Alligator mississippiensis: one gene and its partners. The protein of the gene in region 2 interacts with the protein of the main gene of each other region in a biochemical or structural test. Links are inferred from orthologs where the notes say so. Each region holds a gene or a part of one and is shown on either strand. Other genes may lie near its edges. The genes, in order: NR5A2, UBE2I, PIAS4 and CFTR.

What was found.
Region 1: of the proteins of UBE2I (region 2) and NR5A2, one has a biochemical effect on the other in vitro, tested with the Homo sapiens proteins (2 studies listed by BioGRID). The link is inferred for Alligator mississippiensis from reciprocal best matches to the Homo sapiens genes UBE2I and NR5A2.
Region 3: the proteins of UBE2I (region 2) and PIAS4 form a complex in vitro, tested with the Homo sapiens proteins (4 studies listed by BioGRID). The link is inferred for Alligator mississippiensis from reciprocal best matches to the Homo sapiens genes UBE2I and PIAS4.
Region 4: of the proteins of UBE2I (region 2) and CFTR, one has a biochemical effect on the other in vitro, tested with the Homo sapiens proteins (2 studies listed by BioGRID). The link is inferred for Alligator mississippiensis from reciprocal best matches to the Homo sapiens genes UBE2I and CFTR.

The regions. Positions count from the first base shown.
Region 1 is NC_081828.1:67,865,754-67,873,069, reverse strand, and holds the start of NR5A2 (nuclear receptor subfamily 5 group A member 2), read right to left. Parts: upstream 3,011-7,316; 5' UTR 2,859-3,010; intron 2,842-2,858; exon of another isoform or gene 2,787-2,841; 5' UTR 2,737-2,786; coding exon 2,655-2,736; intron 1,679-2,654; exon of another isoform or gene 1,309-1,678; coding exon of another isoform or gene 1,266-1,308; intron 719-1,265; coding exon 600-718; intron 1-599. UniProt on the Homo sapiens protein: Orphan nuclear receptor that binds DNA as a monomer to the 5'-TCAAGGCCA-3' sequence and controls expression of target genes: regulates key biological processes, such as early embryonic development, cholesterol and bile acid synthesis pathways, as well as liver and pancreas morphogenesis.
Region 2 is NC_081836.1:59,499,723-59,507,758, forward strand, and holds the start of UBE2I (SUMO-conjugating enzyme UBC9), read left to right. Parts: upstream 1-5,023; 5' UTR 5,024-5,126; coding exon 5,127-5,146; intron 5,147-8,036. UniProt on the Homo sapiens protein: Accepts the ubiquitin-like proteins SUMO1, SUMO2, SUMO3, SUMO4 and SUMO1P1/SUMO5 from the UBLE1A-UBLE1B E1 complex and catalyzes their covalent attachment to other proteins with the help of an E3 ligase such as RANBP2, CBX4 and ZNF451.
Region 3 is NC_081839.1:5,585,859-5,592,808, forward strand, and holds the start of PIAS4 (E3 SUMO-protein ligase PIAS4), read right to left. Parts: upstream 3,050-6,950; 5' UTR 2,970-3,049; coding exon 2,943-2,969; intron 1-2,942.
Region 4 is NC_081827.1:48,757,029-48,764,983, forward strand, and holds the start of CFTR (cystic fibrosis transmembrane conductance regulator), read right to left. Parts: upstream 3,047-7,955; coding exon 2,981-3,046; intron 2,244-2,980; coding exon 2,077-2,243; intron 1-2,076. UniProt on the Homo sapiens protein: Epithelial ion channel that plays an important role in the regulation of epithelial ion and water transport and fluid homeostasis. Mediates the transport of chloride ions across the cell membrane.

The DNA of each region.
Region 1 (7,316 bases), on a different chromosome or scaffold from region 2:
GTGAGTATATACTTTTATATTAACGCATTATTTTATAAGATAACTTTTCTTGACTATCATTGCTTGCTTCCAAGTAAATATTGAAATAGAATATTTTGTAGAAAAAATAAGCATTAAATCATGACAACAGAACTTTATATTGTTATACTGAAAGATTAACATCTTAGAACAACTACATTAGATTTTGTAAAGTTGAAATTTATTGAAGATACTACTTTTTCACTTTATCCTACAGAACAATAATACTCTGAATGTATATAAATCAACTAAAATCAATATTTAGGACAGTTAGGAATGAAAGTCTTTCTACAACTACATCACTTCACAACAACAAAATATTTAAAAGCGGCAGAGGCAGCCACACTGCAAAACAACCAGACTGGTGTTTTTTACATTTCTGCAAATGAAGTCTCTTTCTCTCTCTCTCTCCAAGAGGCTTCTGTATTCTGAAGAGGATTTGTTTTAATTTTGTGCATCAATCAAATCAAGAGAATCAGAAAGAAGCCAAACTACACATCTTTTTTTTTTAAACCAACATTTTTCCTTTACTTATATGAAACTATTTTGCTTCATCATCTATTAAGTAATTTATACTAAACCTTGCAGCTTTCACAGGTGAGGAGTCCATAGTGGTACCCAGACACTTTATCACCACAAACTGGACACAGCTCTTCAAGGTCTTCATCATAAGAATAATTCACCATTTTAAACTGAGACACTGGAAAAAGCAGAAAGAACACATTCAGTGATCATTTACATAAATAGTTCAAATCCTTTCCTTCTCCAACTATCATATCCACTGGGATCTGGGGAAACAATTCGTGAGAGAGAACCACCCTCTGCAAATTAAATACAAACTTTTTTTAAAGAAGAAAAGTCCACATTGGAATATGTAATTCTTCATGATCAGCAAAGCAATAGAGCTTCTTAACAAGTGAACAAAAACATAAACGTCATAGTTTTATACTCTTAAGAAACAAAGGTAGAGTTTGACAGAACTGCAGTGCTCTTGGACCAACCTATAGCCTATGGAAACAAAAACTAAGTCAAGTCACTTCATTTCACCACTTATCATGAAACATGCTTTTAGAAGTCAGAATGAAAACTGTCAAGCTTAAATGTCACTGATGTATTTCAATTAACTTTAACTCCACTGGTTTCCTTTGAAGTTCGGTTAGAATACCAATCTGTAAATATTTGTCTAACTTAAACTTGAAATCAACATAGTCAGCACTTTTGTGGTGTGTTTAATGTAAATCACTTACAGGATGAATTTAGGATACTATCCTGATGCCCAAAACCATTCATGCTGGATTCTGATCATCACCCCACCTGTAACAATATCCTGTCTTTCCATAAGGCCCCAATTGATCAGATTGAATACGAAGTGTATTTTGAATGGATTGGTTCCTTTTTCATTGACTTTCTCCTCCGAAATTGTTCTAAGTCCGCCAAAGCAGAGAGAAGCAAAACAGAAGAGACATGCAGGGGACTCTGGGTGTATTTTGGGTGGTAAAGTATGGGAACTTAATTCATTTCAGATCCTTCCCATTCTGATGAAGTTTAGGCAAAGTTAAACCCCAGTGATTCAGGTTCATGATCCTAGGAGACACAAGCAACCGCAGTGTTTGCTGAGATCTGAAAGATGCCCAGAATGTAAACAGGAAGGTCTGGTACTTTTCAAACTCGGAGCTCCCCAAACATCCCTGTGCAGCCTTAAGGAAAACTGGCAAAAAAAGAAAAAACTGCTCGGAAAACCTGCGCGCAGGAATCCAACAAAACCCCTGCCCGTGGGAGGAAAGGCGGAGGAGGGGTGGGGAGGAGGAGGGGTGCACAAGGACCTGAATGAACACACGAAACCGGGAGAGGGAAAGGGATCCTTGAGCTGGACCCCACCTTCCCCCTCCCAGTAGCAAAGAGCTCAGTCAGCACTAGCTGGTGACTCCCCAAAAGAAGCCCCCGCTGCTCAGCACTGAGCCTATTCCCTTCCCTTTTCCTGCCGCTGAGCCTGGCCAGAAGTGCCGCAGCGGTTGAGCGCTGGCGGCAGAGTCGGTGATGGACCCCGGGGCGGCAAAGTTAGGGTGGGTTTTTTTTTCCCTCTCCTTCCACTAGCATTCAGCAGCTGTCACGATATCGAATCGCCCGAGCGATTCAAAACTACAGTCGAGTCCAGCAGCAGCGGAGGAAGGGAGGGAGGGAGGAGGGAGCGGGGAAGGCGGCTGGGACGGGAGGGGAGAGCCGCGCGGTCCCGAGGCAGCGGGGAAGAGCCCGGAGCCTGCCCCGGGGCGCGGCCCTGCCCCGAGCAGCGCGGGGGCAGGTCCGGACAGGTGGGCAGAGGCTCCTTGCCCCTCTCCCCGCCCGCCCTTTGCCTGCCTCGGGCAAGCACCGGCTCCCCCATCTTCCCGCGGGGGAGGGAATAAAAGCCGTGGCCTGGGCGCGGGTCTCGGAGGGCGGCCGGGAGCCCAGCGTCCGCTGCCTCGGAGCGGCGCGCAGCGAGAGCCCGCGGGCCCCGGGATGCAACTCCTCTGGCGGGGATCCCCGCGCAGCCCCCGCGGGACCAACTTCGGGGATCGGGCCGCCTGTGCCCCGCAGCGGGGGAAGTTGAGCCAACTTGGCCCGGGGGAGGAGCGGGGGGGCGGCCGCACGCCCCTTACCTTGCATGTTTTCTGGCATCTGCCCCTGTTCCCCATTCGACCGGGCGAGTCCCAGGGCTTCCGTCTCCACTTTGGGCAGCATGACCGGGCGGGCCGGGCTCGGGGCTCCGCGCGCCTCCGGGGCACCCGCACCTGGACACGGCAGCAGAGGTTTAGGCGGGGCCGGCAGCGCTGCCCCCCGCCCCCGCCCCTGCCCCCGCGCACCTGGCCCGGCGGCTCAGAGCGGCGGCCCGGCGGCCCGAGCCATGCGGGGCCGGCGGCTCCCGGAGTTGCGAAGTTGGGACCTTCCCGGCTGCCGCGTCCGCGTCCGCGCCCGGGCGGGGAGAAGCGGCGCTTCCCAGCCGGCTGGCGGGGCCGGGGGCCGCGGGCGGGGGTGGGAGATAGCGAGTGTGCGAGGGCTCCGGGGGGGCGCCCCGCCAGCCAATGAGCGCCCTCCCCAAAGCCTCCCCTGCCCCTTCCCCTGCCTCCGCCCCCGCCTCGCGGTTGGTAAAGCCTCCTCGCCTCGCACCGCCCGCCCGGCCCCGGAGGTGCGGGGCCCTGCCCCTTCGCCGGCCGCCCTCACCCTCACCCTCACCCTCACCGTGGGGCTCGTCTGGCTCTGACCCCCTCGAGAGCCGGCCGTGCGCGGAGCTGAGGCCTCCCGAGGGGGGGCTTTGCCAAGCTGCACCTGCGCCCCCGGCGTCTCCCTGCCCCCACGAAGGGTCACCTCGCTGGGGTCACTTGAGCTCTTCCTGCCAGCGCCGGGGGCTGGACCCGATGATCTACCAGGTCCCTTCTAGCCCCCTGACAAGCTATGAGTCTATAGAGCCGAGCGGGGGCTGGCTCAGCCTCAGTTTCCCCCCTCCCAGCCCCGGCGAGCGCCCTAGACACCCCCTCCTTCTTCCCGGGAGCGGGTCCCACAGCATTTTTTGGTCTCCAGAAGTCGGATCCGCCCTGCCAGCTCTCCGGGGACGGGGATCTGGACATTTGCTGGAGGATTTGAAAGCCTCATGCCGTGGCAAGGCAGGGCTTCACTCCAAATCTGCCGGCCGGGCCCCAGGAGTGTGGGGAGCTGCCAATGCATGACCGCCCCATTAGCCGTTCACATGTTTTATATCTTTATAGATATTTTATTAGATATTTATTGAGATTAGACGAGCTTTATTCCCTCCCCCCGCCCCATAAAAGCAGTGATAATAACGCATGGGTGCCTCCTTTCAAGCAAAACGGGTTGAGCACTAAAACGCACCTAACAAGCCAGAAGGGGCTCCAGGCAGCACCCAGCTCCCCCACTGTAGCGCGGTGTCGTTGCCTTCATTTATTAACCAACCAGGTGCTGCCAGACAAAGGTCCTTTAACAGGCGACAACGGGCTCGGTGTCTAGTTCATCTGAACTTTTCCTGCCGAGCCACTCAAAACAGGATCTACACCCAAGTCCGATTCACCGCGGATCTTGGTGTGGCCGCTGCAGGAGAGGCTCCTTCCCCCTTTCTGCCTAAGGGATCGCCAGGCTGGGACCCGGGGCATTTAGCCCCTCGTGGGTTTCGGGGGAGACACTTGAAAGAGCCAAGTTGGGAGAAAAAGTAGGAAACCCCCTGCCCATTATCAAGGCTAGTTTCAAAGCCGTCATTTCCTAGCTCAGCACCTCTGCTGAAAGTAAGTTTTACACACATCCAGCCCTGGTGCAAGGGGTGGGGGGCTTGAATCTATCCCCTGGAAGATGTCTTCCTTCCTCCCCTTCTCTTGGACAGGTATGAAATGAGAGCACGCTGCTCTGGCCTTTTATACATATCATTTACTTAATTAAAAAAAAATACTCCCAAACTTTGCTGTTACCAGTTGGTTAAATAAGCCCAGGGTTTTCAAGCCTCCTTGCTGTGGATCTGATTTAGGTTTGGACTGTGCTGTCCCCGGCCCCTGCTGTTGGCAGGGGGGAAGCTGAGCCGAGCCTCCGCGGGACCTGCCCCGGGGGCAGCCGGCAGCTGCCCCGTCCCCGCGCGCCCCGCCAGGCGCCGGGCTGCTCCCCCGCGGGAAGCTCAGCCTCCCGCACCTCCCTGCTGCGGGAGAGGGATTATTAAAACCGGAGCCTATGACAGTATTTACAGCAGACCTTGGAAAGTTAGATTAATACGTATCCACAACAGATCGTCGGTCCTGCAGCTCGCGAAGGTTTTTTTTCGGAAAAGAATAGGGTGCGCTTTCTCTGCCCTTTCAGGCGAGGAGGGGGCTGGATGGCAGGGGGCTTGGAGCAAGCCTGCCCTCGTTTAGCTCAGCAGAGACCATCCGGCAGCCCCGTGGCCCAGAGGGCCACCGATCCAGGAAGATCGAGCCCTTCAGGCTCGGGCTTTCTTCCTCTACGCACACCGAGACCAGCCTGTCTCTGCTCCCCAAGCCCCTGGGTTTGTCCAGGACAACCCTGGTAGAAACCCAGGCGTGGGCAGTGCCCGCAGCGGGGCACGACTTGGCCCCAGCTCAGACTGCGCATCGCAGAGCTGCCCCGCGAGTTATTAACCGACATGGAAATACTTTAGAGCGGTTATTGCACAGCTCCATTTCTCCGAAGTAACGGTTTAGGGCAGTACGCATTATAAAAGATACCTGGTCCCTCGTGGCTACATTTAATTTAGCTTGGACTTTTAGCTCTCGCAATTGCCTTGAGCAACCTTAATTACCCTTTCTTCTAAGCTCCTTGCTAAGTTCTCCAAACTTTTTTTTATGTGAGCTCTCTCCTGAGTTTGCCTGCCTTGTTCTGACTTTGCCTGAAGGTCTTGATTGACGCGTGTAATTATAATTATAAAAGATGATGGCTTGGGGAGCCTCCAGCAGCCTTGATCAGTACAAGGAGCATGGACCTAGAATATGTGATGTTTCCCTGTTCCAATGTATGTGCATTTACATTAACAATATTGGCTGAGTTAAGTTCTTTTAAAGTCACGGGCTTCTTCAGCCCCTCCTGGTTTCTGTGTCCCGAGCTCTAGTTTCCGAGCACTTTACAGAGGCCAGAGTTGGATAAGTCTTAATGGGTCTCTCACCAAGCAGGGGCAAACGCTGTGCTATCTTTGCGTACAGAAAAAGTATCTTGCAGAGAGAGTGATATATGTATCCGTGTATGCACCCATGCACCCACACACACGCACATTATACACAGTCAGAGATATATATATATATGTGTGTGTGTGTGTGTATGAGCCAAACGCTTGTGTATATATATACATGCATCAATCAAGATACACATTATATATAGTGTGTATGTATGACTATGAGTATATTTATACAAATATATGAGTACACACATATTTATATACATACACACATATATATACAAATACACACATGCATTATTTATATATCATTTTATATATACATACACATACATTATATATCATCTTATATATATACACATACACATACATACACACATACATTATATATCATATATACATAAACATATGTACACATACATATTTATATATCATATATATGTGCATGCACATACATGCACATACATTATTGATATATCGTATTATATATATACATACACATACATATATATTATTTATGTCATACACACACACATTATTTATATGTTTCTTTTGGAAAGGTAAATCTGGCAGAAAGGAGCCCTTGATCAGAGCAGGCAAGGGGAACTTTTTGCCCCCCACCCCCAGCCCTCATACAGAAATAAATGGAAGCAGACTGTAAGTGCTGCTGGGAAGTCTAACTCCTAAAGAGTGTTACAGGGACAGATTCAGGAAGGAGCAAAGTTTGCATTCTCTGCCTCGCCTCTGTTAAAGCGGCACGTTTGCAAACAGAGTCTATCAAATTTATCAGATGGTGAAAAACGGAGGCTGTAGTCAGATGGGAGGGGGAAGAGCCATTATCAGCCCCGCTGTCCAGAGTCCACTTGCTGATGCATCTCCCCCCTCTCCCCTCCCAAATACAACACAACAGAGGAGGCACTTTGCGTCAACTTCGCGGAGCACGGAGTGCGAGGGAGCTTTTTGCAACCGGAGAAGTGCCCTTCCCTCCCCCAGCCCTTCTTCCCCTCTCCCAGTATTTCGGGCACATTTATTCCGGGAAATGAACCGTCCATTCGACCTCCAGCACCGCATTTTAGGAGATCCCTTTCTCGGATATAGCTAGTACTAAGCACGCCCCGGCCAGCCCAGAGGAGGCAGAGAGGAGAGGAGGGCGAATCCCTGCCGAGAAAGTCCTAGTTCTTCCCCGCTTGGAAGAAGGACTTTGCGCACCTTGAGATTCCTTGGGCAGGGACTCAGTGCTTTAGGAGCTCTTAGAAAGTCAACCGCAGGGAAAAAAACAAAGCCGCCCTTTGCATCTGATGTAAATAACACAGGAAAGGGGGGGAGGGTCCGGCCTGAAATACTTTCTCCGGGAAAATGTACATCAGAGGTGATCAGTCCTTTCAAAAGTCTATTACACTGGTCTATATTGAGTGCTTCGCGGATGTCTTCCTGAGATGTCGATCCTCCTACTCCGAAAGGCAGGACTGTTTCGAAGCAGTCAATTATTGACTGCCCAACTATTTTTAAAGAACAATAAAGCTTACAGCTGCACACTGGCATGGACTGATGTCTCGCACACCCCAGAGAGTGAAACTTAGCGAGGGCTTTATAGAAGGAGGAATACAGCTGGTTAAGTTAGCGGCTGGGGCTCTCTTTGATT
Region 2 (8,036 bases):
CAAGGGAGAATCTTTGCAATGTTTAATTAAGCTTTGAATCTTGCTGTGGCGAAGTACAAGTGATGCAAATTGCACTGAATGGATCTTAAGAAAGAATTTGATGTTTCCATGCAAGTGTCCGGACTATCTGCACTGTCACTCACAGGAGGGCAGAGTCCATGCCCGGGCTGCAGGGTGTAATTTGATCACCACCTGCAGCTACCAAGCACTTTTTGTTCCTACTTGTAAACATCAGCTGGATTGTATTGGAGTGAGCTTTTGATGCCTTCTCTTACACGGTCCTCAGTGAGCTAAGGAAATGCAGATTAGATGAAAGTGCTGTAAGGTAGATACATAACTAGTTGGATTATCATGCTGCAAGTGTAGTCACCAGTAGCTCAATGTGTAGTTGGAAGGAGGCATCGAATGGGTTCCCCGGGATCTGCCCTGGGTCCAGCGCTGTTGAATAGCTTCCTGAACTTTTGGAGGATGGGACTGAGTGCACATTTAGCAAATTTGCAGATGATGCCAAGTTGGACGGAGGTGCAGACACTGGAGGGTGAGGCTAGGATCCAGAACGGGTGAGCAAGACATGGCCTGCAAGCTGGATGCAGCCTGCCAACTGACTGGACCTGGCCACGAGCAGACGCCCAGCAACTGACTGTCAGCCTGCAGCCGCCCCTGCAGCACGCTGCATGGGGCCGAGTCTGCTCTGCTCCTGCACCAGGCCCACCAGACAGCACCACCCCGCCCCAGCCAGGGCACACAGCTTCCCAGCGGGGCTGCTGTCACACTTGCCCAGGTACTGCTAGTTACCCCTGCCTCCAGTGGCTCTTCCTCCTCCTGCCCCCTGTGCCACTCGGGGCAGCAGGCAGCATGGGGAAGCCGTGGGGACGTGTGCCAGGCAGCAGATACCCAGCGTGTAGGGCTCCGGGTCCAGCTCTTGGCTGCCTTCCACCCATCCTGCCCTCCCAGTGTAATGAACACCTGTGGGCAGCTGAACGGGTGGGAGGCATCCAGGAGCCGGAGCCCTGCACACTGGGGCAGGAGCTGCCTGGCCGCAGCTTCTCCCTGGCCTGTCTGGGCACCCGGCTCCCAGCACGGGTCCTTACGGCTTCCCCGCACTACTGCTGCCCAGAGAGGCGCAGGAGGAGGCAGGGGAGCTGAGTGGTACCTGGGCAGCTGTAAGAGCAGCCCCGCTGGGCAGCTGTGCCGGCCGGGGCTCAGGCGGTGCTGTCTGGTGGGCTTGGCCCCATGTGGAGCGCTGTGGACGGGGTGGGGTGGGGTGGGATGAGCCACACCTGAACCTGCGCTGCCCGCATGAATTCTGCTGCATGCATCCCGCTCCCCCTTCCTCCCCCACGGCCGGTCAGCTCCCAGGACCTAGCGCACGAGCGCTGCCCCCACATATAAGAGTAGGACTTTATTTCGAACTATTCAAACACATTACAGTAGATGTTTTGACTGTGATGTGCGCAACCCTCAACAGCTCATCAAACCTCATTAAGTAGGCCCAGCCAAAGTAACTGCCCACCCCTGATCCAGAATGATCTTGACAAGCTGGTCCAAAATGAGTTGAATGAAATTCAATAAGGACAAGCGCAGAAGTCCTAAAGGTAGGAAGGAGCAATCACAGGTACAAGCACAGGCTGGGAACGGGAACGCGTGGTCAGGCTGCAGGGACGAACCCCGGGGCTACAGTGAACCGTAAGTTGAAAATGAGTCTTGCTGCAGACCAAACCAAACCAAACCAAGGAGCCCCACGTCCTGGGCTGCATTAATACCACGCAGGCACTTGGCCAGTGACTTCCCTAGTTCAGGTGTTTAAACTGTCCTTAAACTTGGACAGAAAGTATGTACTGAATGAATATTATTTAAATACAAATTAAGGGACGGGATTCTCGCACCCTTGACAGCGCTGGTGAAGCCTTGTCCGACATACTCCGTCCAGGTCTGAGCATCGCACGGAGACATGTGGACAGATTAGACTTTTATGGACAGCCACAAAAATTATGAGAGATCTGGGAATCTGGATTTAGGAAGAAAAGCTGAAAGAACCGGGAGCGTTTCGTGTAGGGAAGGCTGAGAGGGATTCGATAAGTCTTCAGATACCTGAAGGGAAGTTAGAGGAGGGTTAGTCTCTGTGGGCACAGGAGACGGGACAAAGAACGGTCTCAAATTGCAGCCACAGACATTTACGCTACGCGTTAGTTAGCAGCGTTTCCTTGCGAGGGTGGTCACGCGTGGACCGGCGCGGGGACCTCCACCCCTCGCCGTCTCGGAGCAGGTTCGAGGAACGCCTAACCAGGTCGGTTTGTCAGGAGGGATCCTCTCTCGAGCAGGGGATCGGACGCGCGACCTCCGAGCCCCCGTCCAGCCCTGCTTTTCTACGGCTCTTTAATAGGCTTTAAAAAAAATCTAAGCCGTTGATTTGCCCGGTACGCTGGCAAGAGGCCGATGACGCAGGGCAGGGCAGGGCAGGGCAGGGCAGGGCACGGCCGTCGCGCCGCGCAGGGGCAGCGTCTCTCCCAACGCGGGCCAGACCCAACGCGACGTTAAGCGGTCAGACGCCCACAAGGACAGCTGGCCGCAGCCCCCCCGCTGCGAGGAGCGGGACCCGCGCAGCTCGGCGCCTCCCGCCAGGGCTGCGGGTGCCCGGGGCCGCAGTGCCGCGATGCCAGCGGCACGTGCTCGCCCCGTCGGGCTGGGCCGCGTCCGCGACGCCCGCCTCCCTCGTGCCGCAGGCGAGCGCGTCCCCCGCGCCGGCCTCGCCCTCACCCTCGCCGTGGCGGGCAGCCCCGGGGTGCCGGGGACACCTCCCTGCCGGGCGCCCCGGGGCGGCGCGGGCCCAGGCCCACTCCAGAGCCGGGACCGCCGCGCCGCGCCGCGCCGCGCCGCAGGGGAGCGCGGGGCGGGGGCGGGCGGCGCTGCCGGGCGGGACGCTGCAGCGGTTGGCGCGGCTCCGCGGGCCGGGCCCTGGACAGCGCCCCCCACCCGGGAGCGGGCCGCGGCGAGGGCGGGCTCTTCCCGGGCTGCGCCCCCCGGACACGACACGCGCGCGGGCAGCGGCCCCCGCCCCGGGGCCGCCTGGTCTCCGCGAGCCCCGGCCTCTCCGGCCCGCCCCCCGCCCGGAGTCCGCTCGGCCCCTCCCTGCGGCCGCGGACTCGTCCTCGCGCGCGCCAGGCCAGGGCAGGGCAGGGCAGGGCAGGGCAGGGCAGGGCTGCCCGCACGACGGGCGGAGGCCAGGGCGAGCGGCGCCACCTCCGAGCCCTCACACCGCCGCCCCGGCCGGGGTCCTAAGAGCCTGAGGCCGCAGGTGGCCACCTCGGTGCCTGCAGGAAAAGGCCGGTAGGGCCGCGGGCTGAGCAGAGCAGAGCGGAGCAGAGCGGAGCGCGCTGCGGAGCGCAGCGGAGTTAGCCGGGCCGGGCCGGGCAGCCGAGACTTGCGGGAGCGCCGCGCGCCTCGGGCACTAACCTGGCCACCTGCGGGTCTTACGTGCTGCGGGGGCGGCCGGCGTGGCGGACGGGTCGGGGCGAGGGTCAGAGCGCGCCGGCGCAGCGGGACGGACGGGTCGGGCGGAGGGACACGCCGCGCCGCCGCGCTCCGCGCCGAGCAGGAGGGAGGGAAAGTCCGGAGCAGAGACAAAGGGGGGGAGCGGCCGGGAACATCCGGGTCACTCGCCGCCGCCTCAATCCGGGACACGCGCGGGTGCTGCGGCCGCTCACGGTGAGGCCCGGCCGGGCGGCGGGGGAAGGGAAGGGCCGGACCGGGCCGGGGGAAGGGCGGCCGCGCCGGCTCCTCCGGGCCCCGCGGGGCGGCTCCGGCCGGGGCGGGCCGCGGTGCCGGCAGCCGGGCCGCCCCCTGCCTCTCCCCGGCCCCCTCCCCGGCCCGCGCGGCCTCCCCCGGCCCCGGCCCCGGCCCCCGGCGCGGGGAGGCCGCGGGCCCTGCCCCAGGCGCGGGCGGCGCCGAGGCCCGGCGCGGGGCGCTGTGCGGGGCCGCAGCAAACTTCCCGCCGGCCCGGCCCCGTGCGGCACGAGGGGCGGCCCCGGCGCTGGCTTGGGGCTGGGGCCGGGGCCGGGCCCGCCCGCCCGCGCGCAGCCGGGGCTCCCGGGGGCCGGGACGCGGGTGCGGCCGGGCTGGAGGTGTTTGCCGAGGCGGGGGAGGCCCCGCGCTCGGGGGCGGCGGACGACCACGTTTAGGAAGGAAAGCGCCGTTCTTTACGTAAGGGCGAGCCGGCGGGAGTCGTTGCTCCAGATTTAAACGCATAGTTTGGCTCCTGGAGCCGCCGCGCGGGCGGAGCGAGAGGCGAAGCGAAAGGGAGGCGCGAGGACCGCGGTCGGAGCCGAGCGGCAGGGAAGGAGCGCGGCGCCGTTTGTGGGAGCGGGGTAAGGGAGAAGCGGGAAGGACGGGCTGGAACGGGGGCTCGAGCACGGTCCTCCGTTCTCCGGTCTCGCCCGGCGGGGCTGGCCTCAGCAGCAGGCGTGGCCGGACGCTGCCGAAGGCCTGGCTAACTTGTTTCCCCTCCGAACGATGGTGACCTGGCCCAGCGGGGCCAGCCTTTTTGGTGGATGTGCCACAAATGAAACCTCCCAGAGTACTGCTCCGCTCCCTGTCCTCACCCCACCTGCTGCTCTGTTTTCTGCTCCCCCCCGTCTGTCGCGTGCCACTTGTTGGCCCCGTATGACCTAGGGCTTCTCCCTTAGTAGCAGGTGTTTGTGTCCTCGTAGAAGAATTATTAGAATAATGATTCTGCAGGATATGGCGAGCTTTAGATATTTGCATTTGGTTTTTAGGAGTGAGTGGAACCTGGGGTATAATCCGTACGAGGACTCTTCGCCAGCGATCGGAAGAGCTGCGGAGGGCCGAGCTCGCAGCAGCGTGCAGAACGTACCCGTGCTTCTGAGCACGCTGAGGAAGAAAGCGGTGTTTACATTCACGCTCTGTCACACAGCGTGGTTAGACGCTGCTGCGTGCCAGCAGGCAGGGTACCAGAGCAGAAGCATTGAGATCTTCCCTGGGGTTCTTGGTTTGCTTCTGAGTCTGGAATGAGAAAGGGTTAAAGTTAATAGAGATCTTCTGTCAGTGCCCATAAGAAGTCCGTGGTACTTTCTGCCTGAGGATTTTGATGTGTTCACAGTTCATTTTGCATGGCTGCACATGTTGCAAGGTGTGTGATCTCCCACTTCCACAGGTGAATAAGCAGACACTAAAATGAAGCGGCCAGCTTTGAATTGTATTACTTACAAGTTACATTACTAGAAGAAAGTTAAACTGGCTGTCTGTAAAGTCTGTATCTGCAACTGTCTGTCCAGAAAGAAAAATACAGGCAGCACATACATCTGGGGAATGGGAGTGTTGATCGTACCCAGGGCCTCGTGTTTGGAACCTGCAGCGTAAACACTTCAAGGGAAGCTTTTCAAAACTCTTGACATTGAGAGAGAACCTAGAAACGTTTCTTCAGCTAGGGGGAGCCTCCGAAAATGTGAGAGTCTGTAACCTGGTCCAGGTCTAGGTTGAGTCGCTTGAAGTGATTTGCCCGTGGTTACTTACCCAGGAAGCCTGTGGCATTTCTGGGAACGAAATTTAGTCCAAGCAGACCTGACTTGTACCTTACCCTCTAGACCAAGACCGTGATTCTTCACATTGCCGCTCGGGTTGTTTACGCTTCGGTGCAGAGGAAATGTGAGCTTGGCTAAAATCATGTTTGGCCAATTCTTGGGGTGGGGGGTTCTTAAGGGGTTTTTTCCATTGACATCTCTTTCTTTGTCAAATCTTTTGTTTCAAGCCTCTTTCCTGGCTAGTTGCTTGGAAAGTCATAAGCCTTAGAAAAAGGCTCTGAAAATCAATTAAATGTTGTATTTAGGTTTGTATTATAGTGTCCAATTCTGTATTTTTTTTTAATTTCAGGGATAACATTTTAGTTTCTATTGTACAGTCAGTTAACTCAGACACTATATGTATGCTGTGAAATCCATATCCAGGTCTTCAAGCTTGAGCTCAGATGATAGATGCAAGTTAAATTATAAAAGAACAAATTTTGAAAATAAATTCATAACGTGAAAGATCTTGTGATTTTTGGATTTATATACTAATTATCATGTGACTAGTCCAATGTTATCCATTTGTATGGCTCTAGTAAGAAATTAAAAGATTTCTAAGTAATTCTGAAAATGGAATTTAAGTCTAAAGTTACTCTTCTTTTTTAAAATATTCTCCTTGCCTACTAAACTAACTTGCTGAATGAAATAAGCTGGTGAAAATGTTGTGCTATCTAATGACTATGATTATTTGTTTTGAAATATATAAAAATCATAGTAATATTTAGCAGTGACAGCTTTTAAAAATGTTTCCTTAATTTTCCCGCTCATATTAGTGAAGCTAACTATGTCCATTTTACATTGAGTGGAGAGTGGGTAGAAGTAGGAAATCAACTTTATTAGATGAGAGGAAAAATATTTATGTAATAGTGTTATGGTCCTTTTAAAAATTTTAGTTCAACTTGCTCTTGAAGTATAAGTGTATAAAACCATTAATGCAGATGGTAGTCCTGCATATAGTCTCTTTTACGTTGGAAACAAAAAATACTTCACTGTCTGCAGGTCACTTTGGGAATAGTTTAACTTGAACTCTGATGGATGTGTTAAGCTGAATCTAATGCCTTCTACTGAACTATGAGGGGAACTTTATGCTGTATAATAAGAAAATCACAGGCTTGTTAGTCCATAGCAGGGTGCATACCTGCTGGAGCAGGCAGGAAGGCTAGAAAAAGAAGTACAAAATTTTACCGTAATGAAATAGAAGATGAAGGTGCAGCATGTCACTTTTTGGAAAACGCCGTTTGTTGGTGGTTTTTTGGTACCACGCGGGTCACAGAATGCATGGGTTAATTAAATTTGCTCTGATATAACTGTTCGTTAATCTTGTGGAATTTGCATTTGTGCATTCGCAAACAAAACTTGACCCTTAATATTTTTCTTAGGAGTAGCTGTTACCTTTTTTTTGCCTTTGAAACTTAGGGATACTGTATCAAGCCATAAGCATAACTGATTTTCATGGTTTTTTAACCGATGGTTGCAGTGTAGCCCAGAGGACCATCAATTGCTTTAACAGATCTGTTGTCTCATGCTGTGATTGGCAACAGGTAGGGAGAAACTGAGGATGAAATACTGAGTATATTATGATGATGGTAGGGTTTACTGCATATTTATCTTTATTCTGCTGGGGCTGACCTTGGTTCACTAAATGAAATTAATTATTTTATAATTTGATACAGTGAGAATATTTTGAAATAAGTATTAGTATCAAAGTGTCTTGTGTTTATTTTCTATTAAATCCAGTTTTGCTACAGATGGTTAATGGCACGTACAGTGTCTGGTAATCTGCAAATATTCTGGCATTGTGAAATCCAAATATCCTTTTCTTACTTACCTAACTTTAATCAGTATAGAGAGATAGTTAGCCATGGTAGTCTGAAGTTGAGTGTGGATGCACCTTCTAGATGTGGGTGAGCAAACGTTTTTAGCTGTGGGGTGGAATGACCCACCCTGGGTTGGAGGTGGCCAGGTGGGCACTAGGACCCTGCCACAGCCAGTCTTCATCCCTGCAGTGGCGCGGGAAGTGGCCACAGATCCAGCCCAGGGGCCACAGATTGCTGACCACTGCCAGAAAGTGATTTACAGGTGCATGAGCTTTCAAGAGTAAGAGCTCACTTCATCAGGTGCTGTAGAAGGACACAGTTTGCTCTGTGCGTGTCCTTTCAAGCCATCTGCTGAAATGAACTCTTGCTTATGAAAGCTTACACATCTCTTAATCGAGTAGACCAGTGATTCTCAACCACGGTGCTATGGCACCCTGGGATGCCGTCAGATCCTTGCAAGGGTGCCATGGAGTACCATGCAATGTTAGCACTGCTAGGGTTGCAAACATAATGATAAACTCAGATTTCAAATAGGAAGCAGGGTGTTAAAAACATTGTGACCTGTTGTGGTCTGTCTTTGCAACAGAAGAATTGCTCTATTACCTTCTTGCAGTCAAAATTGAGGGAAAACTAAGAACTG
Region 3 (6,950 bases), on a different chromosome or scaffold from region 2:
TGTCAGTAGTGGAGATAGAAGCTCTAGCAACAGTGCTCCCCCGGCTGTATGAAGAACGCCCTGTTTTAAGACTCTGCCACATCTATCCCAGTGTTATCAGCACTGCCTGCATGTGCAGGAGAATTCTCACATATGCCTGTTTTAGAACTGAAATGCTAACAAGCCACAGGATGATGCTCAAGAGGTTTTCTTGGAGCAGGAGGTAGGAAGACAGGCCAGGCCATCAATGACATTCACAGGGAACCCTCTGGTCAGAAACCCAGGTCTTGATGCTAGACATCCTCAGCATCTTCCCTCTTTCTGCCAGGATGTATTCTCTGGACTCTGTTTGAATATTTCATCTTCATAGCAGTCTCTGGTCACTGCAGTCTGATGTTTTTAAAGAATCCTTTCTACTCAGTCTTCCTGTGCCCACGGGAACAGTTCCTTTCCTTATCACCCAGGACTTCTTATCCTCTGGGTGAGAGCAGGGCCTATCAGATTGCCAGATGGGCAAGGATGCCAAGGGACTACTTGCTTCTCTGGCCCATGCCCAGCCACCCCTATGACCAGGCCCAGTGCCTGCCTCGCTACTGTTCTAATGGAGCACCATAAAACCATTAAGTTAAGGCAGACCCAAGGTTTTCAAGACCATTTAAAACTAGCCAATCTCCTCAATTTCAGCTTCTCATGCTTGTGGAAGTTCAGAGAGCCTATACCTGTTCACAGATTCAGGAAGACAACATTGCATCTGTCTACATTGGAAAGCTTATCTGCATAAGAATAAGAGCTTTTTAAATTAAAAGTAATGCTTAGATTCAGAGATTGATCATTCTGACCCTCCTGACTACCAAAAACAATGTCACAAGTGTTCAGGGTGAACCGATGAAGTGCATTTCCGATAAATGCAAACTGCCTTGAAAATGTTTCGCGGGCACCTACATTTATCACTTCAATGTACTTTGTGTTTTATACACAGTATTCTACAGCAGAAGGTGAAATCGGAGAGCCAGTAATGATCTTTCCATCTGAAGTCAGATTAATCTACGCAAACCAGTTGATAGCAGTATTCTTGTGATTCTCTGAAGAGGGACAAACTAATTTTAAACTAAAAAAAATGAAGTAAGACCAAAAACGTTCACTTGCCATGTTTATTTGTGGGAAGTAGTATTCAGCCCAGAAAGGCCTAACATTATTTTATTTTTCTCAGTTTACTATGAAAGCCTCTAACTTCCTGGTTCACTGAAGAGGACACAGAACTCAAACTCACTGGCTGGACTGAGACGCCGGGTAGCCGAGATGTTCTGGAATTTCTTCTGGCAAGGGGGAAAGGGCTTTGGAGAAAGTTCAGTTGCTTGAACACTTGTCTTAAGACTTGGGAAACCTGGGTTCATTTCCCTGCTTCACTACAGAGCTGCTGTGTAGCTCGGGATGAGTCATTTGGTCTCTGTGCTTCTGTTCTTCGTCTGCAGCATGGAAAAAAATAGGACTTTGCCACCCCGCAGAGTTAAGATAAAGAAACGTTAAAGACTGTGAGATGTCTACTGCAAGAGAGTCAAAAACACCTCCAAAAAAAGCTATTGCTGCACTTACTGTTCTTGCCTTCAGATCACTTGGGGCATCAGGAGCATAAAACAGTTTACATTTACGCAGTTTATATTTAGAAGCGTTTCAAGTCTTAAAAAACACAACCATGATTTTTGACCAATAAAAAAAACCCAAAACATTTAGGCACAGAGAAAAACAAATCACTAGACGCTTGGGTCACTCACTCATCAAGGAGCGGGTACAAATACAGGTTTCGTTAGCTAACGAGGTTATTTCAATATCAATGCAGATGCAGGCTTTCCCATAAACTAGGAGGTCGTGTGGGCGAGGGGCGCAGAAGATGGCAAGTTCCAGTCTGCCAAGCCCACAGATTCACACAAGTTTAGGGCTGGAAGAGACCTCACAAGATCATCTGGGCAGGAAAGACGGCTTGGCTCACACGTCACCCCCGCGCACCTTCGATGACCAACGTGTCCACGGTGCCTCCCATCAGAAGAACAGCGGGATCAAACCACCGGCATCCGTCCTTCAATCCTTTTGCCACTTTTCAATCCTGCCACGTCTCAGGCAGCGCCGCGAACCCTCAGCTGCCCCGGGCAGGCGAATTCCTTCCTTCCAGCCTAACCCGGCCGTACGCCAAGCACCTTCGGCCGTCGCCGGGTAGGAGCGGCGATTTGACAGGAAGCTTTGCCTTCGAGCTCATCCCCGGGTGCGTTCACCCACTTCAGACACCCCAGGGTATTGCACAGTGGGGCTGGACCACAAAGAAGAGCTGGGTGCTATATACGAGACAGAGCATCCCTTATATATATACACACAAGACTATATATACGGGATGCTCTGGAAAACTAGACGCGTTTTGAAAGCCCCTCCATTGAAATGCAAAGGTCGCCGGGACCCTCGACACCGTCCGGCGCCGCACGCTCATCCCCGAAAGCTTCCCCGGCCTTCGACGCGGACCTCAGCAAAACCATCCGCGGAGCGGGAGTGTTCGGCTGTGAATTTGTGCGCCGGGAGGTATTTGGACAGCTCCTCGCAACTTGCGCCAAAAGCCTTTCCAGCGGAGGACGCTGCCCGCCATCGCTTGGGGCCGGTGCCCCTCGCAGCCCCGCGAGCCGAGGGAGGGGGAGGGAGGGCCGGGGCGACCCCAGGGGCAGGCGGCGGGGCAGAGGGAGGAGGGAAGGAGCGGGGGCCGGGGCGGGAGGTCCCGGGCTGCGCGGGGGTCCCCCGGGAGCGGCGGGCGAGGTGCGGCCCGCGGGGGCGCGGCCGGGCAGGACCCCGGGGCACGGCCGGCTGCCGGGGGAGGGTCCGGGCGCGCTGGGGCGGAGCCGGGCCCCGCCGCCCCGCTCCCGGCCCAGCCCCGGGCCGCCGCCGCCGCCCGTGGGAGAGGGGGGGGAGGGGGGGCGCTCACTCACTTTCGCCTCCACCAGCTCCGCCGCCATCTTGTTTCCAGCGTCCACCGCGCCGGGAGCCGCCGCCGGGTCACGTGAGCGGCGGGGCGGGGCGGGGCGAGGGGGGCAAGCGCGGCCAATCAGAGCGCACTCTCGCAGCCTCGCTCCCGCCCCAGCCACGGGCGCAGGCGCAGTGCAGCCGCCTGCCGGCGCCGCCTGCAGCCAAAAACCCGCCCCCTCCGCCTGTGACAGCCGCGGGCTCTTAAAGGGGCCGAGCGCGGCGGGGATAGGGAGGGAGCGGGGCTCACGCCCAGCCCACGTGCAACCAGGGGCGGGGAGGTGCGAGCACGGGGTGGAAGGAGCATAGTCCGCAGTAAAGTGCTGTGCTTCCTTTGCTGTATTCGGGGTATAGCATCAGTCCTCAGGTTCAGGGCGAAGGCAAAGGGATGCATCTTTGGAATCGCTCCCAACCGCGTGGGTTCATGGGTGCAGGGTGTCCTTTGAGGGAACAAGGCCAAATCCTGCTTGCTTGACATGTGCGAGCTGCCCGTCGGGCTCCAGAGATGATCCAACTTGCGGGAGAAAGGGAGTTGGGATCGTTCGCCACGATGGGCTGGATTTCTGTCATTCCCGGGAGTACACACCTACACCTGCACACACCCACGCACACCCCTGCACGCATGCCCACCCACCCCCGCACCTACCAACCCACCCGCACCACCCTACTTACCCACCTGGGGACTGGGCTTTGACCCGCTTTAGTGTCCTGTGGGATTATGATCTTCCACATCTACCCAGGAAAGAAACTTTCATCTCTATCCAGAGCTTTTCCAACCTCTTCTCTGACGCCCGATGAAGGGTGCTTGCGCCCGAAAGCTTGCAATCCGAGAAACTGTTTTGCAAAAATCTAGCTGGTCTAATAAGAGGTATCGCCTCTACCACGAGTCCTGAGCTGAATGAAGTGTCTTGTGGGAGCATCCCATAAACTTGGCAGATTCCCAGGGAGGCCGGAGCCGTCCTCACCCCGGCCTTGCGCGTCCTGGCTGTGCCCGCGACTGACCGCGTGGCAGATTGGCTCCGTAGGAGCTTGATACCCTGGCCCTGCAACGAGGCCCAGGCTGATCTGAGCCTGTATCTTTCCCCTGAAGATTCTCCATAGTAGCCGAGAGGAGGAGGAGGAGGAGGAGATCCCACCGTTGCCCACCATAGTTATCCAAGGAAAACCTTCCAGTCTCCGCCTATCCCTGGGAAGTGGAACAGGCTCTGCCAGGGCTGATGAGGGGAGGAAGGGTAATATGCAGCTGCTGCTATCTCCTCCCTTCTAGTGGGGATCTGTACTTTGAAGTCCTCCCACAGACACCCATGGCTCAGGAAGGTCTGACCCAGCCCCCTGGGGCAGAGCCCCGAAAGAAGAAAGGGTCCATGGACCTGCTTCTGTTCCAGCTGACACACCCTGGGCTTTGGCACCAGGGATGTTAATGAGCCTTACCCATATGGCAAGATGGAAACAGATACAAAGCAAATGATGTCCTATGACTCAGCTGGAGTTGCAGTCAGGAAGATGCTAAATTTAGATCCTCAGATTTGCCCTCTCAAGCTCTGCTAGCCGGCATTGTCCTGACTTTCTGGGACTTGCTGTCCTGGTGGTGCAGGCCTTAGCACCGGCGACCCCAGAGTTTCAAAAATCATAAGTGTGACCCTCAAACGTCTTGTGATCATCTGAATGAACATTAATTTTAAAAACCCGCCTTACCCCACAGGGCTGTCGGCATTAGCTTCAAGGGGCTGAAGTGCTTTGGTGGTGTGGTTATATCACTGTGTCTAAGAGTAACAACCACAGGCAGAGATACAGGTTTTTGCATAACACTTCACACTCACAGCTCTGCCATGGCAGCAAAACCCCTATTAGATAGATAGATAGATAGATAGATAGATAGATAGATAGATAGATAAACTATAGGAGGTGCAAGAGATAGATAGATAGATAGATAGATAGATAGATAGATAGATAGATAGATAGATATTTTATCTATCTATCTTCAAAGTTGGTTGGCCTTTGATTTAAATATATTAACAAAGTAAGCAAAAACCCCCCTCCAAAAACCCAAAGAGAAGTATAAAATCGCACAAGTCTTTTATATCTTTTCCTTTTAGGAACCTTTCTCTTGAGCATAGGTTGAAGGCAGATTTCAAATGTATATATTTGCTTCAAAAGGTTTGGATTCCAACACAGCCTTGCCAGCCCTATGCAAGCAAAAATCATTATTCAAGACCCAAAATACCATAAGAGTACCTAAAAATGTTGTAAAACTATTTGGGACTCTTTTTTTTTTGGTTCTCATTTTGATTTCTACATGTTAAGGTACAATCAGTTAATATTTTTAGTCTTTTATAACACAAGAACTAGAAACTTCTCTTTAAAAATGAAAGATCAGATTTTCAAGTAATCCTTTGTTTCCAGGGGCAGGAATTAAAAGGCATGACCAATATTTTGTCATCCTAGAATAAAACAGTAAGAGGTGGCAACCCAGTAAACTAGGCAAAGGTGCTATCTAGTATTTGTTGGTCAAGATTTTCACAAAGTTTGATTCCTACATCCATATTTGGCACCTCGATAAATAACCTGATTTTCAAAGTAGCATAAGAGTGATTTTTGTAACCCTGATGGTCCAGACATTATGCGAGAGGCAAGGTTTTCTTAGGATGATATCTTTTATTGGGCAAACTACGTAGTTGGGATAAAGTGAGACAAACTTTCAGATGCAAGATGTTCTTCCTCAGATCTCACAGATTTTCAGAAGTACTGGGTAGTTTCTACTATAATCTTTCAAAACTCAAGTAACCGACATGGGCCCCAATTCTGACGAGATGACAGATGTAGTTTACAGTATGCACATCAGTGGGCTTAGAAACCTCTGCAAAGGAATAGGGCCCTAGATCCCTTTTCATAATTTTTGGACTTGAGGACTGTTTGGGGAGGGGATTTTTCTGAGGGACAAAGTAGCAAAACCGCCATGAAAATCAACAGGAGTTGTGCACCTAAGGACTATTTGTGCCTTTCGAAAGATCACGGGAAACAATGTTGTAAGTGTCAAAGTGACTTAGGAACCTTAGGCTAAAAAACGGAGCCCAGTTTATCTTGGAGCTGTTTGGCCCAGGCTTTAACTCTGCATAAAAACAGGCAGCAGGCTCAGTCCTTAAGGCATGCACACTTAATGGCAATTAACTCAATTATCCCCAACTGCCTTGGGAAAAGGTGTTATCTCCGTTCTTCACAGGTACCTAGGGTGGGACAATGAGCTTGTATTGCTGTAGGATCCCAGAATAGAAGGCTTTGGGGCAGGCAGGGAATCCTGTGATCTGTTTTTCAAGTCACCTGTGCATTTAAGAGAATAGTTTGCTTCAGTTATGTGCCCCTTTGCCTTAAAAATTTGAAGCTGGAGTCTCACTTCTACCCTTCAGAGCTAGATTTATAAAAGACATAAAGATCCACATAGATGCCAAGTGGAAATTACAAAAAAAAACAACCCAAAAAACACGTTAGTGTCAATGGAATTCAGATGACTCAACCGAGATCTTCCAAATGTTTGGGCCCCTAAGATCCGCTAGCTGAAATCAAGGAGTGATAAATGCTTAAGTAGAATAAGGGTGTAGGTTGTAGCCGTGTTGGTCTACGGACATAGGCAGACCAGGTTCTTTGGGTGAATCTGATAGCTTTTATTAGACCAACTTAAATAGTTTCCAACTATTTAATAGTTGGTCTAATAAAGGATATCAGATTCACCCAAAGAACCTTGTCTGCCAAATAAAATAATAAATAATACCTGGGAGGATCTGGGGAGCAGGTGTTTTTTAAAGTGCCATTTAGTGCCCATCTACAAATCTAGGTGTCTAAATGTATTCACTAGGCTGACTTCAAGAGCCTTGGTTATTTTGGAAAATGTGACCTAGGCACTTTTGAAAAATATTTCTCTGACCATGGCCACAGTTGTTTCCAGAATCAAATATTATCCATTTTTGCTGTTGTTCTTT
Region 4 (7,955 bases), on a different chromosome or scaffold from region 2:
GTACTTCTTAAGACCAATACACAAATAATAGGCAAATAAAAGTTTTGGAGCTCCTCCAGTCCCTCAGCAAGAAGAAAACAAAGAAAAAGTATTCTAAACTGTGGCCTGCTTAATGAACTGCATTAGTTTTTGTCAATTCTTTAGGGGCTTTTTGGTGGTAATTTCCTATCACGAAGTACATCTTTAGTCAGAAGGAGAGAAATACCACGCTTTGTGATACTTATATTCAGTATGTATTTGATAACTTTGGAAACTCTTAATACAGTTTCCTTTTCATTTTTAATTTTGAATTCTGGCAAATGAAAGAACAGTAAAGTATATTCAAAGGGAAAGGTTAATTAATTGGAGGCATATTGTCTAGAAATTCTGCCTTGTATAAATAATTACTGAGTAGCAGCAATGTGTTCAGGACATTGCCATCAGTTTTGAAAACATAGATCCCATTTTATTTTATTAATAAATACAACTTATCATATGACAAATTTAATATTATAAAATACATCCAATCCCTTGGAATATACATAAAGACAAATATCTTCCATTAAAAGAGTTCCATTCAAAGTCATTGTCCACAAATGAGACCTGTGTTCTTTTCTTCTCTTCCCATCTTACTTTTAATGTTAGTGGACACACATTGCTATGCAGATCCGAACTATGCTGGAGAATGAGGGAAGTTTATCCTAAGGATTTAGGTTTGTTTTATTTTTTAAAATAATCTGTGAAAGAAAGTAAATTAGCTTATGATTTAGGATTCATTCCTGCAAGTGCTCCTTGAGTAAAAATGCCCCTGTAGCAGTACCAACCCCATACTCCAGTTGTTCTAAACTTTTTTTAGACTCAAGGTATTCTCCATCATTTTTTTTTAATTTAGCAGCACTCAATTTCAAAAACTAACTGTACTCCTTTTTTGACAACAGAAAAAATAATAAAGTGATTATTATGTTGCAAAGAACTCAAAAAGACCACAACCAGTCAACATTTTTTTTAAGCTATGGATTTCTATTTGAAATTTCTGGGTTTATTTTGTGAAACATGTGTAGGTGTTTGCACATCTAGCAGGGCTAGTATTGCATGACACTTTGTGACACCCTTAAAAGAATATCAAGGCACCCCTGGGTGTCACAATACCACAAATGAAAATCACCACCCTAAGCCATTGACATTCTGCTTACACAATTAAATATTTTGTTGGTCCTCTGGAGATGGTCAAATATCAAACAGTGCATGAAGTTCCCATTTATATAATATATATTTAACATGGGTTCCATTCATCAGCTGCAGCAAGGATATGCTAACTTTGATAGACTTTGCAGAAGTATGTTTTAAAGAAGGATTTGAACAAAGAGCGTGCAGGTGTCTTTTGCACTAGAGGTGAGGAAGGTTTTTTTAAAGTTGGAGTTGAAGTATGAAAGAAGGCAAAAGGTGAAAACAGGGAGAGAGAAGTGAGAAAAAAGGTGTTGGCAGAGTGAAAAAAATGGGAATAGAAGTGAAGGGAGTTGGTGTCATAAAAGTCTGAAAGGAGATCATGGAAAAACTTCCTTTGTTCAAGAAAGCCAATGGAGGGATTCAGAGGTGGAAGTTCTAAGGTGAGGATGGATCCTGAGGAAAATGATTTTTAGCTCTGGAAGAGAAAGGTGAAAGCCAAGGGGGTATGTGGAAGGTGAAGGCAGGGAGACTTAAGTAGGTAGAACTGAGAACAAGACTTAGCCCTGGATATTAAAACAACGGGATGGAATTTTCTTAGACTATGAAGAAAAAATAGTTGGTAGTGGTGTGATATGTTGATATGGAAGAAGGCAGCCACAAAACTAAAAATGAGATTGCAAGCCTGAAACCAGGCCAGAAGTGACCCAGTTTTCCAAAACTAAGCCAACGACATGGTTGAACCATTACTGCCCGCAACCTAACCAGGACTTTAAAAGCAGCTGAAAACTCTATTGTTCTAGTGTTTCTGGTGTCCTGTTACAATTAAGCAAGCTGAATTGATACCTTCACTAGTCCTCACTCACTCTTCCAGATCAAGCCATTGCCATCCACATCATGATATAATGCTAATAAATATGTACATAATCATACCTTTCTAATTTTTCAGAAAGATTATCTGCAGAGTCTGCGGAGGGGATCTGATAAATGTCTGACAATTCCAATCGCTGTCTGTAACCCTTTTTCAAAATTGGGTTTGTCCACCTAAACAAAAGAAGATTTATTACTACATTCCAAGATTCGTTTTGGAGGGACGTTAGCTATTTAGGTCATATCCAGCACTGCATATATAATTCACTATGCAACAGAGCATTACAAAATAAACCATAAAATGACACTTTGTTAACCAAGAATGTAGCTTTTGAATACTTTGGTATGTAGGTAAGGATAACATTAGTAGAACAGCATTGGATTTCTTAAATTGGATTATTTTATGCATGACTCTTACACAAACATTCCCCCAAAAAATCACTAGGAGTAGAGTGAGCAGTAGACTGGGCCTTTGGAGTTCTATTTTCAAGAATGTGTAGTCTCTGTGCTAATGAATATTACATAAAAATGTTGTTACATTAGAAACAGAAGTTAATCTTACAAGTAAGGAAATTTAACTTATTGTTTATATGCATAACTGTTCACTTGGCAATAGACACTGAAAATTATGTGTGATCTTTTGCAAGATCAAGGCATAATGGATGTGCCAATGATAGCTTTTATCCATTATTAAACATTTTCAATTTTTTTTTAACTTTAATACAGGCCTTAAAAAGTACATTTTTAGCACAATGTTCAGGTTAAATAATAATCTCCATTAATGTTAGTGGAAACTACTATGACAGATAGCCATACTTTCAAGGAATAACTGAGTTATAATTTTTGGACACTTAAAATGTAAGAAAGATTTTGGACCTAATCTCATTCCTATTGATATTGGTTCCAAAATATCTATCAACTCACAGAAAAAAAACCAAGAAGATAATCTTAACTAGCTGCCCTATACGAGTAACACTCGTAGCTGATTCATTACAGTCATTAGTAACTGTAATGAATCAGCTATTGATTTCATGGTACTCCTTACATGCATTATAGTGCACACTACTTGAAATGAATCCCCAAGGGATCCTGTTCAAATTTTTCATCATATTTTATTAATAAGGTCATTTGAAAACATAAGATTAAGAAAAATGCAATTAACAAGCATCTTTAAGATACATAGTAAAGTACATACAGTAGTAGAAGTACCATTTTGGAGATGCCTAAGGTTACAGTGAAAATAAGCTTTACTTTCATTGTTAAATATAATCGTTTTCTACAAAATAATTAAGTAGATAACTGTAAGAAGTAGGTTGCAAGTAATCGCTGCATGCATTTTTATGTGTCTGTCCATCTGTCACAAAAATACATTTTATGATTACAATTAAAGTGATGAACAGAAAATCCTAGCCCACAAATTTGAAGCCATCCAAAAGAGAAAAGACTTACAAGATATGTTTCCTAAAAGAGACAGTCTGCAATGAAGGGCCAAACAAAACTTTAAGGAATATATTAAGAGGGTCATTTCAAGGCTAGAAGTTGTTTATTGGAGGTTATTTTTAGTGTAAATGTCACTCTGTGTGTCTATAAATGTGTATTATATAAAGAAAATTAACCTGATTCTTGATTTATATTAAGGCCACGTTATATTCTTCTGGCAGCATAAAGGACGTAAGTAAGTATAAAAGTAATATTATGCATGTCATACAGAGGCCTCTCTGTAAATGAGGTGCATAATGCATGTGTATGACTCTTAATGTTCATGTGTGTACACACATAATCTAACATTACAAATATTTTAAAAGATTATAATCATGTGAATAATAAATCAATAATCCTGCTAATTTAGTCTATTAAGCATTTGGGGAAATGAGATGTATTCCAAGTGGATAATTATGCTTAAGCATTTTTTTGGAGAATTTTTTTAAGCAATAAAAGGATTTTCTTTCACTTCTGCAACCACAGAAATCCTCTGTTTCAGATAAATTGTTTGGTCTCAGCTCAGTCTTTAGCTGCAGTTTACATGAAAAAGTGCACACAGTTCATAATATGTCACGGTAAAACCAATGATCAGAATATGCTTTTGAAAGTGGCAAGGGGAAAACTGTTCAGGCTGTTCATGAACTCTTTTGCTGCTGAAGTTAGGGAACAGTGATATCAGAGATACATTTCTAATTCTTGTGAATGCCTTCATATTTAAAATAACTCAAAATCTTGTTAGGTAAAAATCCTGGGTGGTCACCTCGAAGGATGAGCTAGGTCATGTACAGGATGACAGAAAGGAACTGTGTACATGGCTTGTGCAAACACTACTAATCCCTTGTCCTTTGGGAAAAAAAACACACTTGCCAATTTGTTTCATAAAAGAAACTGCAGTACATTCAGAAAATTTGGCAATCATGAAATGAATAAAACTGAGGGAATACTACATGACTACTGCAAGTAAGCTAAGATAGTTCTGAAGAGCGCCTCCCCCCTCCGCCCCCCTCCCCACTTCATTCCAAAGTATTGTTGTTTAATAAGGGTGACTGCCCTTGACAGGTACCTTGTAAGCCCATGCATAATGCTCTGAAACTATACTAAACAATTCTTAATCTATCTTGAGACAAGGAAAAAAAAGATTTACAGTTTCATACCCCCTATATTTTGGGAAAACAGTCTCTACTACATTGTTTCTTTCTACATTTTTTTTATTTGCATTTTTGATTAGCATCTAACTGGGCATTTTGCCACAGCCTGAAGAAACAAAATTTACTGTGCTTGAAGCAGAGAAGTTGTTAGGAAGGGAGCATAAGTAAGTCAGGTCTACTGTACTCATGGGAATGTGGTCTGAGTAGCTGATCAACTACAACTCTTTGCCCATCCCCTCACCTTATCCTAAACTGGGTGTATTTTGCCTTACCCTAATTACTGGGTAAGCACCTCCTGTTCTACCTTAAGAATGGATTCGATTCAGCCCTGCATCCACAAGAGTTGCAGTATTCCCACCCATGGAGATAGTTACAGTCAAGGGTGATTCACTGCTATGAGCAGGGAAGCAATGATGCCATCTTCCTCCAGGAATTCCCTCCAGGCTCTTCTAAACTGCAGTCAGGATTTCAAAAGTTGAGTCTACACAGAGGCGTATGTACTTCCAGGGTGACCTGGCATTGCTCTGCATCCCCAGCTTTGTGGGCTAACTTGCAGGCTGCATCAGCTGACTTCAGATCTCTAGGAGACAGTTTGCGTCATGGCGCCCCCTTTAAGATAGATTTTCAGAAAATGCTTGGGAAAGTGCTGTCAGAAAGAATATCAGGCTTTGTATACTTTCAAAATAGCTTGCACCAGCTAGAAGGCTATATAAATAACCCATCATCATAATTTTAGGGCCAGATTCACCATTATACTCGGGGGGGGGGAAGGAGGGGGGATTTTCACTCCTCTCTGTAAAGTGAATATAAACCTAGTTTAACTGGCCATATATATCAGGCTTATTAAAAGTTTGCACTGCCTTAGAACAATGGCACCAAAGATTTTCAGTGAATCTGGCCTTTAACATTCTGAACTCGTTAGGAATACCAGCATTAATTCCTCATTTCTGGTTCTCATTTCTCTTGTCATGGCAAAATCTCTTTTGACACAAAGAAAGCAAGGATAAAGATAAACAGATTGGCTTTAAAGTATTACGTTAACAAATGCCACCGGATTACTGGCTGGCATTTAATGAACTCTTTCACAGGGAAACCTGTAGTGCTGTCAGAGTCTTGCCACTAACTAGGGATGTTATTATGGGCATATATATGTGAAACCCAGCAGGGAATGAGTTTCAAGGGTGTACTGTGGGTGAGAAGAAAAGAAAGAAAACAAGTTCCACCTCTTTGATTGATTGCCTGGTAACAAAGTACACACTATTGGAAAGATACAAAGGTACCATATACATGACACATTGTTTTAACTTCTGTTTGTTTGTTTCTTTTCTTTTTCCTTTCATTTTCCCTCCCTTTTGTAATCTATAACACATACCTACTGTAGCAGTTTGGTTTTCTAATTTGCACAGCCACACAGGCAAACTCGAACCTACTGGGCAACTTCACTTGCTTCTCTGATGGGCACCACCTTGTCTTTGTCATTTCTGTATTCTTGGCCCTGCTTAAGGCTGCTGTGCATCCTTCCAATATCAAAAAGCAGCTTCAGACTTGGCATATTTCACTAAATGGAATTTCCTCCGGCACAGGGGAATTCCCAGTACCACAGATACAGCTAGTTTCCTGCCTCCAGCAATCCTGAAGTAGACATGCTGGTACAGAAATCTGAATCTCCAAAGCACTACTTTTTGCTCTGGACCAGGGAAGCTCAACCTCCAGCCCACAGGCCAGAGCCTTGGCATCTAGCCTGCAGGACTCCCCATGTGTTGGATAAGTTGGCAGTGGGGGAGCAGTGGCAGCTAATACCCCCACCCTCACTGCAAAAATCCCAAATCCTGCACAGTGAGTCACAGATGGGCCATGACCCTCACCCAGGATGGCTCGATCAGGCCCAGGTCATGCTCCCTTCCCCCACACAGCTAGATCAGAGCTGGGCTGCCCCCTGCCCTCCTCTGCATAGCTAGATGGGGCCCTGTCACACTTGCCTTAGGTGCCACCACCTGGATCTGGCCCGCAGAGGGACTGGGCACTGCCCATCTGTCCTGCTGGACAAGCCAGTTGAGTACCACTGCCCCATTGCAACAATTTGGGTGTGACCTGTGCTACAAGGTATGCAGAGGAGCTGCCTGAATGAGCAAACCAGATGACCAATGACACAGCCATCATATGAAACCAGCTCTATAAACTGGTACAAAATGAAACCTACCTTCACTGCCTTCTCTTTTGGGTATCAAATATGTCTATAGGCACTAGCTAGGACCAATGCCTTCCCTCCCTAAGGAAAGTGTGTCTGCGTGCCCACCTTGAGACTGGCACAAGCATGTCCTGAAATGATCTGTTGTGTCTGGCACTGCAAACTTCTAAGTGCCCCCAGTACTTTTGGACTTAAGAGGTTCAAAACACTTAGGGACAGCATGTGTATTTGAGAAATTATTGAAGGATTTGGGGTTCAGGAACTAGATTAGACTCCTTCTATCAAAGACAGTCATCCCTGTTGGTAGAAGAAAGTAGAAACCACACACAGGTTTCTTTTTAATCACTTGTGGTAACTCCCCTTCAGGTATAACTTGAGGTGTGTAGGTAGTGTTTGCACCATCTATCCTCCCTGTAATAGACAGGCAAAGATAAATTCAGTCATCCATAAAGAAATTATGTGTCACCAGCCAACAGCACCAGCTTTCTGGAATTGTTTTCAGTACTTCAGGTGCTGCAGCAAAGTAAGATCTTATTATGGGTTTGATTATGTTTCATCCCCTCTTCCTGTGAATGTCCTATCAAACAAGGTTCTTCACTTGCTATAACTTTCAAACATTCTATGTTACTGAAAATTCAGTTTTCAGAAGATTCATTTTTAAAAGAACATGAAGCTAGCTATTAGCTCTGCTGAGGGCCAGCAACAGTCAGCTGCTGAAACATACAGCAATTTAAAAATACTGACCACAAAAGAAAGTGCTTCACTATTGCATATTAAATAACCCCATGTCAAACAATAAATTAACCTCACTTCCCACTATCTTTGCTCTACGAAACAGGATTTATAAAGTATAAGACAGAATTGTTTCCTAAATTTATCTGCAACAGTACTAAGTAATAAGATTTGCTAGATTTTTAAAACATTAAAGAACGTGAGAGGCACGATTTTTGTGGGTGATTTGTTAGGGGATTTGGGGTAAATTTGGGATAATTTGAGGGAATATCACAGCACCCTTACTCTTTTTTTTTTGGTAATCACTCACTCTGCTGTGCCTGCTTCTCTCCCAGAAGGAAGATTACTCTGATACCTAAAATTATGTTTCAATGTGTCCCAACCATGCACTT